Linked DNA regions of Canis lupus familiaris. The protein of the gene in region 1 interacts with the protein of each later gene in a biochemical or structural test. Links are inferred from orthologs where the notes say so. Each region holds a gene or a part of one and is shown on either strand. Other genes may lie near its edges. The genes, in order: PPP2R1B and PPP2R2A.

What was found.
Region 2: the proteins of PPP2R1B (region 1) and PPP2R2A form a complex in vitro, tested with the Homo sapiens proteins (2 studies listed by BioGRID). The link is inferred for Canis lupus familiaris from reciprocal best matches to the Homo sapiens genes PPP2R1B and PPP2R2A.

What each region holds. Positions count from the first base shown.
Region 1 is NC_049226.1:21,356,066-21,360,423, reverse strand, and holds the start of PPP2R1B (serine/threonine-protein phosphatase 2A 65 kDa regulatory subunit A beta isoform), read right to left. Parts: upstream 3,004-4,358; 5' UTR 2,957-3,003; coding exon 2,843-2,956; intron 2,077-2,842; coding exon 1,986-2,076; intron 1,658-1,985; coding exon 1,557-1,657; intron 1-1,556. UniProt on the Homo sapiens protein: The PR65 subunit of protein phosphatase 2A serves as a scaffolding molecule to coordinate the assembly of the catalytic subunit and a variable regulatory B subunit.
Region 2 is NC_049246.1:31,381,945-31,385,759, reverse strand, and holds part of PPP2R2A (serine/threonine-protein phosphatase 2A 55 kDa regulatory subunit B alpha isoform), read left to right. Parts: intron 1-1,519; coding exon 1,520-1,685; intron 1,686-3,815. UniProt on the Homo sapiens protein: Substrate-recognition subunit of protein phosphatase 2A (PP2A) that plays a key role in cell cycle by controlling mitosis entry and exit. Involved in chromosome clustering during late mitosis by mediating dephosphorylation of MKI67.

The DNA.
Region 1 (4,358 bases):
AAGCCATAGGAATTACTAATGGATTGAATGTGGGAAATGAGGGAAAGAGGATGCAAGAACGTCTTCTAGGTTTTGGGTTGTCCAAGGGGGTAGACAGTGATGCCATTTACTGAGATGGGCCCACTAAATGAGAGCCATACTGTAGGGAGAAAATTGAGTTCTGTTTTAGGCATGTTAAATTTGAAATGCCTGTTTGACATACAAGTGAGAAAATCAATCACTGCTAGGAAGATATAAGCAGTATTTATATCCATGGAAAGGTCAGAGGCAGAAATAGAAATCAGAAATCAGCATCATATAGACCGTATTTAAGCCATGAAGCAAACACCACTATTTGGTCCAACTGCTGAATTCCTAGTCATCCTTCAAAACCTAGTTCAGACATCATCTCCCAAGAGGTTTTCTCCTTTCTACTATTTAGGTACCTTCTATGTGCTTCTATCTTTCCATCTAACACTGTACAGTAATTACTTGTTGACACAGAAGGGCAGAGACCTCATTCCATTCACACTGGTGAACACTCTAACATCAGTGCCTGATACAGTAGGCTCTCAGTAAATGTCAGCCACTGTGAACCGAACTCCTCAAATTCAGTCAGTCAGAAGCAAGCCGTAGACTTACAATCAAAGATAAAAAGCTAATGGACATTTCCAGGGAAGCTGACTAGTTCAGTCTGTAGAGCATGTGGTTCTTAATCTTAGGGTTGTGAGTTCAAGCCCCCAGGCTGGGTGTATAAATTACTTAAATAAATAAAAACTTAAAAAAAAAAAAAAAAGAGAGAGAGAAGCTAACATTTCCAGAATCATGACACTATGAGATAAGAATTAAGATCTCCAAATTTAGAGTGGTGAGGGGGAGAACTCCTAAAAACAATCAAACCCTTTTTTCTCCCAAACACTAACAAGTCCACAGAGGCAGAAAAGGAAAAAAAAAAGAAATCTTATGCTCACAGTCAGAAAGAGAAAGGGTTAATTGAGTCCAAAGTGCCTACATTATTGTTTTCTCAATAGCCAATACTGTGACAATCCATAAAAAAAAAAAAAAAAAGTCTGCATTGAAAATGCTGTAGTGGGGTATCCCTGGGTGGCTCAGCAGTTTAGCTCTGCCTTCAGCCCAGGGTGTGATCCTGGAGTCCCGGGATGGAGTCCCACCCACATCAGGCTCCCTGCATGGAGCCTGCTTCTCCCTCTGCCTGTGTCTCTGCCCCCTCTCTCTCTCTTGTCTATCATTAATAAATAAAATCTTTTTTTTTTAATAAAATCTTTTTTTTTTTTTTAAGATTTTTATTTATTCATTCATGAGAGACACACAGAGAGAGGCAGAGACACAGGCAGAGGAGAAGCAGGCTCCACGCAGGGAGCCAGACGTGGGACTCGATCCCGGGACTCCAGGATCATGCCCTGGGCCGCAGGTGGCGCTAAACCGCTGAGCCACCCGGGCTGCCCTTTTTTTAATAAAATCTTAAAAAAAAAAAATGCTGTAGTGTTCCCATCACCACACAATGTATTGTTTATACTGGAGAAGCTCTAGAAGAATGGCAGGCAGAACGTACTTACCAGCAAACAGTGGGCAAAGTCAGGACCTCCCACCAGGCCAGTGAAATTTCCCAGTTGCTCAGCAAGAGCTAACAGTACCTCATCTTCATCATAAATTGTATCTGGAAATGACAACAACCCAATGCTCATCAACAAGGATAGCTGGCCCAAAGCGGGATACTCACACAAAACTATAAACCCTCCATGTCTAACTAGATGGTCCTGTCGATACTAACAGCATTCTGGATCCACTTTACACAATGAGTTAGAAATGGACAATCTTGTATCAATTACCTTCCCCTTAGCTAAACAGTCACTATCTTAATATATCTGGCCACAAGTTTAGTACGTTAGAGCATGTGTAACAGATTCTAAAAAGAGTCCAAGGACTGAAAGCCATTGGAAAATGGAAATGGCCATGCCTTTTCTTCAAACAAAACATTCCCATACCCGTAAGGAATGGCAGCAGTTCTGTTCGCGTCCTTTCGACTCCAAGCGCTAGAGCAATTGTTGATAACTTCTTAATACTGTTGAGACGGAGCTGTGAGAAGAAGACAGCGGAAAGCATGAAGCGCACAGCTGTGATTTGGACCAAAGGATGAAAAGTGACAAACAAGTGAGATAACGACATGCTCAGTGACAACGAGGAAAACCCTCCACTGAGATCTTATTCTATGAGGAACCTCGGGAGCAGCGCAACACAGCTTCACTTTAGCCAGAGGAAGGTTTCTCAAGAGCAACCCTCAAAGGGCCCCTCAGAAAAAGGAAAAAGAGCACGACATCCAGGAAGTGAGACAACTTCCACACACCCTGCGGCGCGGCGGGGAAGCAGGTGAAACGGCTGGATACGACCCTTGCCTTCCCAGAAAGAGCGAACACACCGACTCCCCTCGGTTAACAAGCCGCCTCACTCTTTCCGCCCAGCAAGCCAGGCCGGTTTCCAGGCCGAGGGGAAGGCTCCATCCACCCGCAGCTCGGCCGCGCCGCCCTCCGCCCGCCCGGCCGCGACGCGCGTTCCCCTCGCACCGCCCGGAAGGGGCGCCCGGCGGGAAGCCGGGGCTCGCACAACCGCCGGGATCGCGGGGACGCCTCAGGCGCCGAGAGGAGGGGGGCTGGCGACGTCCAGAGGAACGCCGGGCCGAGTCAGCGCAGCTCCTCGGGGCTCTTTACCTTCCTCCCCATCAAATTTCTGCTCCGAGTCGGGCTCTTCCAGTCCCCCGGCCTCCCCCACCGCGGAGCCGACCTTCCTCCTTCCCCACCACACGCCCGGCCGGGCCCGCCTCCACTCCCCGGCCCCATTCCAGTACCTGCACGTCCTCATTGCGGAGCTCGTCGATTAAAACCGCGATCGGGTATAGCGAATCGTCTCCATCTCCTCCCGCTGCCCCCGGGCCGGTCCCGGGCCCCGCTGCGCCCGCCATGTTCTTTCTCCTCAGGCTGGTCGCCGCCGCCCGCCCCGCGCCCAGGCCCCGCCCCCGCCCCGCGCCCAGGCCCCGCCCCCGCCCCGCGCCCAGGCCCCGCCCCCGCCCCGCGCCCAGGCCCCGCCCCGCGCCCAGGCCCGCGCTGCCGAGGCCGGCGCTCCCACCCGGCGGAGGCGGGGCGGCTGAGCCTCTACCCGGCTGGCGGAGGTCCCCGCGCGGACCCGGCTGCGGGAGCTGCACGTTTGAACTCCAGAACAAGGGTGGGCTGAGAAAGCGAATGGAGCCCCCGCATCCCTTACGCACCCGAAAGAAACAGGGGCAGGAATTCATTCTGCTCATGATGGGCCGAGGGGGTCAGGGACCTACCTGAGTGATGCGAACTGTGCTCCTGGGACTCTGGCGGACCAAAGAGGATGCCCAAGGCCAGGAGGAAAACAAATTTAGCGCCTCCCCTGACTTCATCCTGGCCCTGAGCCACCGGGTTTCCAGGCCAATTTCCCCCGCTAGCCTCAAGCTTCCCCAGAACCCCCACCCCCACCCCCCACCTCTTCCTCTGGCCTGGGAGCCAGAATTGTATCTGGCTTCTGCTCCGTAAGACAAATAACGCGGGCGGTGAGAGAAAATGAACACTGCTGTCCAAACTCCCCAGTCAATATTTTTTCCGCTTTTTCCATGCAAGCTGTTAAAAACATGCTGCTCTCTTGTTTTTGTGTTTCTTTTCAGTTTGGTACTGGAATGGTGCCTTCTGTTGTTTTTTCTTCCTCCCTCTTTTAGGTCTTTAGCATGCTACAAGCACAACAATCAAGCAAAACTAGGACAAGCTTTAATCCTTCCAAATTGGGTGGAGTGGCTACTTTGCTTGTACGAGAAAGGCTAAACTGGCCTCCCTAGAACTCTAGAGTCCTCAAAGGCACCAGGAGGAGGAGGTGAGGGGCCTGGAGTTCTTTCAAAACTTAATGGAAAGTTTTCCTTTACCCTTCTGAGGCAGCACAGAACAACTAGAATGGCCCCTCTTTTTTTGTTTTGGGACTATAATTTAAGCAGTTTATACTGATAAACTACATAGTGATCACAAGCTCCAAAAGTAATTGTAGATCTAATTAATAAACATTATTAATAAACGCAATTCAGGAGACATTTTAAACATGGCATTCATAGGAAAAAAAAAAAAAAAACAATAGATAGAACCTTTGGTAGGTGTGAAAGTTTGGGAACCACTGGACCTGAACAGTAGCTCTCAAATTAAGTCTGTGGATGTTTTCTGTATGGCTTCAGTTTGGTTTTCATTTTGGTAATAATTTTTAGATTTATATAAGCATATTCTGGACTATATGGATGATCACTTTATAACCAGTATTGCCATACTATTTCAAGACTCAGGTTTGCATGTGTGTGCTTTTAC
Region 2 (3,815 bases), on another chromosome or scaffold:
GAATAAATAAATGAATAAATAAATAAATAAAATCTTAAAAAAAAAAAGAAACTGTGGTAATGAGACTAGGGGTTTTTTTTTTTAATTTTTATTTATTTATGATAGTCATACACACAGAGAGAGGGGCAGAGACACAGGCAGAGGGAGAAGCAGGCTCCATGCACCGGGAGCCCGACGTGGGATTCGATCCCGGGTCTCCAGGATCGAGCCCTGGGCCAAAGGCAGGCGCCAAACCCCTGCGCCACCCAGGGATCCCGAGACTAGGGTTTTAATCCCCAGTGGGGATTATGTTTTTTGGTATGCCTTGCATTCTTAATATTGGCAAACTCAATAATAATTGATACTGCTATCAGAGGGTTCAAATATAACTGGAACCATGAATGACCAAACCAGATAACCAAGCTGCTGTACAAAAACAACCCAAAACAAGCTTTTAAGGTGATGATTCACTAAGGTTTTCTTTTATATGTAGAACAATAATGAGCCATTCTTTTAATCAAGTCATCTTAAACATTTCATTTGATAAATTCACTTTTACTTTTGAATAGTTGGCTATCAGTAATATCTTTCCTTTAAACTATTTTTCCATAGGTTCTTCTTTGAACTAGACTTTTAATGTTTTTGACGGAAAGATTTTTAATCATGTGATAATAGGTTAAAAGGTGAAATTCTCTCATGGTTATAATTCTCACTTTTGTGAAGATACTAGTGTTAACTGAAGAAGTTGACAAGTAGTTGCTTTAGCTAATAGTTTAAACTGTATTCACTTACCCAGATACTAACTGAAATAAATCATCAGTGTGTGCTAGGCTCATAAGGCTAACTTAAGGAGAGGAAGAAATTGTCGATGGGTTTGTGGGGTGAGGTTTGCTGGGTAATGCTTTATGTGAACTTAATGAGTCACAGAGCTCTGTAACTGTGGTCTTGGGAGAAGCTGGGGTCAGATGATACTATTACATTGATGGAGTTCTTAAATAAGAGTTTTTCAGCAGTGACATGACCTAGAGACAGGCATGGGAAAGGAAGAGGAGGAAGACAATACATCCAATAAATAACTGATTTATGGTTGACCCTACAGTGGACAGAGAAAGTGTGCCGCAGCCAGCTGTTTTCTAACAAGCTTTTATTTATTCTTCCCTTTTAATTTTTTATTTTAATTTTCCCTTTTTAAAAAGGTGAGCGCCCTCATTAAGGGTGCTTAGATTTTTTTTTTTACTAGTAGTCCTCTACTATTTATTATATAATGATAAATTAGTAATCAGATTGATCAATATTTTAATGTCATTTTCCTATTGAATTGGGCTCAGGCTTTTTATTAAGCTTTTCCATTTTTTGTGAGGAGCTGTTTTATTTATTCCTAAAGGCCTTAAATATTTAAAAAAAAAAAAACCACTATAGTTGTATTTAAGATGCAGGTAATTAATTAACCAGAATTTGCAAGGTCTGTTGGAATTGATTGCATGTTTATGTTTTGAAATATTTCTCAACAATGGTCCAAATATTTTTGTTTCCATTTTAGAACAAAATCCAGTCTCATAGCAGAGGAGAATATAATGTTTACAGCACCTTTCAGAGCCATGAACCAGAGTTTGACTACTTGAAAAGTTTAGAAATAGAAGAAAAGATCAACAAAATTAGGTGGTTACCCCAGAAAAATGCTGCTCAGTTTTTATTGTCTACCAATGGTAAGTGTTAAATTTTTTTCCTTTTATATGCCTTTTATATATGTGTGTGTACATATATCCTGTACAATACTTAACTTTTACAAAGAGGAATAGATGTTCAGAGAGTTCTACAAATAGACACTTGGAAATAGACGTCTTCCCTATACATGATGTGTAAATTCTTCTTTGTCTTCCCTTTTTTCTTTTAGTTTTTAAATTCTATGAAAAAGATCTCAGGTGTCCATATTCACTTGGTATATACACACTCTGTAGTGAAAAAAGAGGACTTTACCACTGGATTTTAGATCAGGTACCATTTGTGCCACATCTTGGTTTAGTTGCCTTTGGCACATTATAACACAAGTCAAATTTTCCTCATCAGCAAACTGATGATGGTAATAATGTAATAGTATTGTTATGGGTAGTAAATGTGATATATATGATGATGATGATGATGATGATGATGATGATGATGATGATAAATGCCCCAAGCAGATGTGTTGGGACATACATAATTCACGTATTGGGATATTTGTTCTTAGTAATTTTGGCAGTTCACTTCTTACAGGATAAAGTATTTTTCTTTTTAATAATGGGAAATGTTTAAAATAAAGGCTGAACTAGAATAAGAAAGTCCTATGTACCCATCATCCAGCTTTAGCACTTCTCAGTTCGAAGCCAGTTGTTTGTTCAGGTACTTCTGCTTTCCCTCCTCAGTATTGTTTGGGAACAAATCCCATTTCGATTCATTTATGGATTAAATCTTAATTACCCCTCACTTCTCTGTTCATACTTGCATGTGTGTAACCAGATGAGCCTTTCTAGACAGTAAATTCTACAAACGCTCAGTAGAGGGAGAGGCCCTGGGAATTCTAGTCGTTGGGTCTTAGGTATGTGATCCTATCCTGTGTAGTATTTTCTATAGACAATCAACAGTGTCTCCCAAATAGATATACCATGTGAATTTTTAAGTCATTGATTAATAATACAAATTATTTTAAAGGGCACTACACAGTGCATTGTAGGTTTCTGTCTTTTGTTGTTACTGTTAATGAGCACTAAATAAAATACAATTATTTGGGGCTACATTATTTTTTTGTGATAAAAAACAGAACCCACTGTACAAGAATGATACAAGTGGGAATTTTACAGACTGTTGTGTCTGGATGTGGTGGGATGGGAAAAGGATGGAAGGAATAGAACTTAAGCTATATCTGGAGAGCTTTATTGTTTACAAAGAAAGAAAATAATGGGAGAATGTCAGTATCTCTTAAATCTAAGTCATAACTTTATATTATCTGGTATGTTTGCCTCTGTAAGATTGAGAATAACAATTCCTCTTCCCCTACATGTAACAGTCCTTTTGGCTCATAAAAGATGAACTCCTAAAGGGAGGTGGTGGAAAATAGCATGAAACATCCCCCACCTTTGATTGACTAAAAATAATCTCACTTTGGTCTTATATGGATTTCCCATGGTCATCATCAACCGTCCAGTGTTTCCCAGGTCATTTTTATTCACAGAACTTCACAGTGGCCTCCTTACAATTTTGGTTCATTTAATTTATCTTCACGTAACTTTATTCTCTTTCATCTCCTTTTGCTTTCTCAGAGTTTTCCACAATTCTTCCACATTGCAAAATGTCCACCTCTAACCTATTGACCGTGGATCTTGAATATATGAGTAATACAGAGTTTACCAGTAAATACCTTGTGTTTTAACAGCTGTTAATAAGTTTTTTAATAACAAAGCTACATTCATTCCCACAAGGAAACTTGGTAGATGGTTTTCCCTGTCCTACTCTCTCTTTATGGTGAGAGAAACACTGGGACTTTTGGACTTCTGGAATACTCTTTACTCATTAGTATTGACAATGTAGGGAAACACCATAGAGCACTCTTAACCTTTTGGAAATGACAGATTTCTTTAAGGAATCCAATAATACTCTTACAGAAAAATACATATATTTACATAATTTTGCATGTAGTTCTATGGAGTTTGATTATTGTCACATACTTCTAGTTGGCCAAAAACTACAGTTAATTAAATCACTACTATAGAGCTTAATTTTGACTTTTTAAAAATTTGTCCTAATTATTAAAATATTTTATTTCTGACATGCCTTGTTTCCAAGCATTGCACTGAAATTGT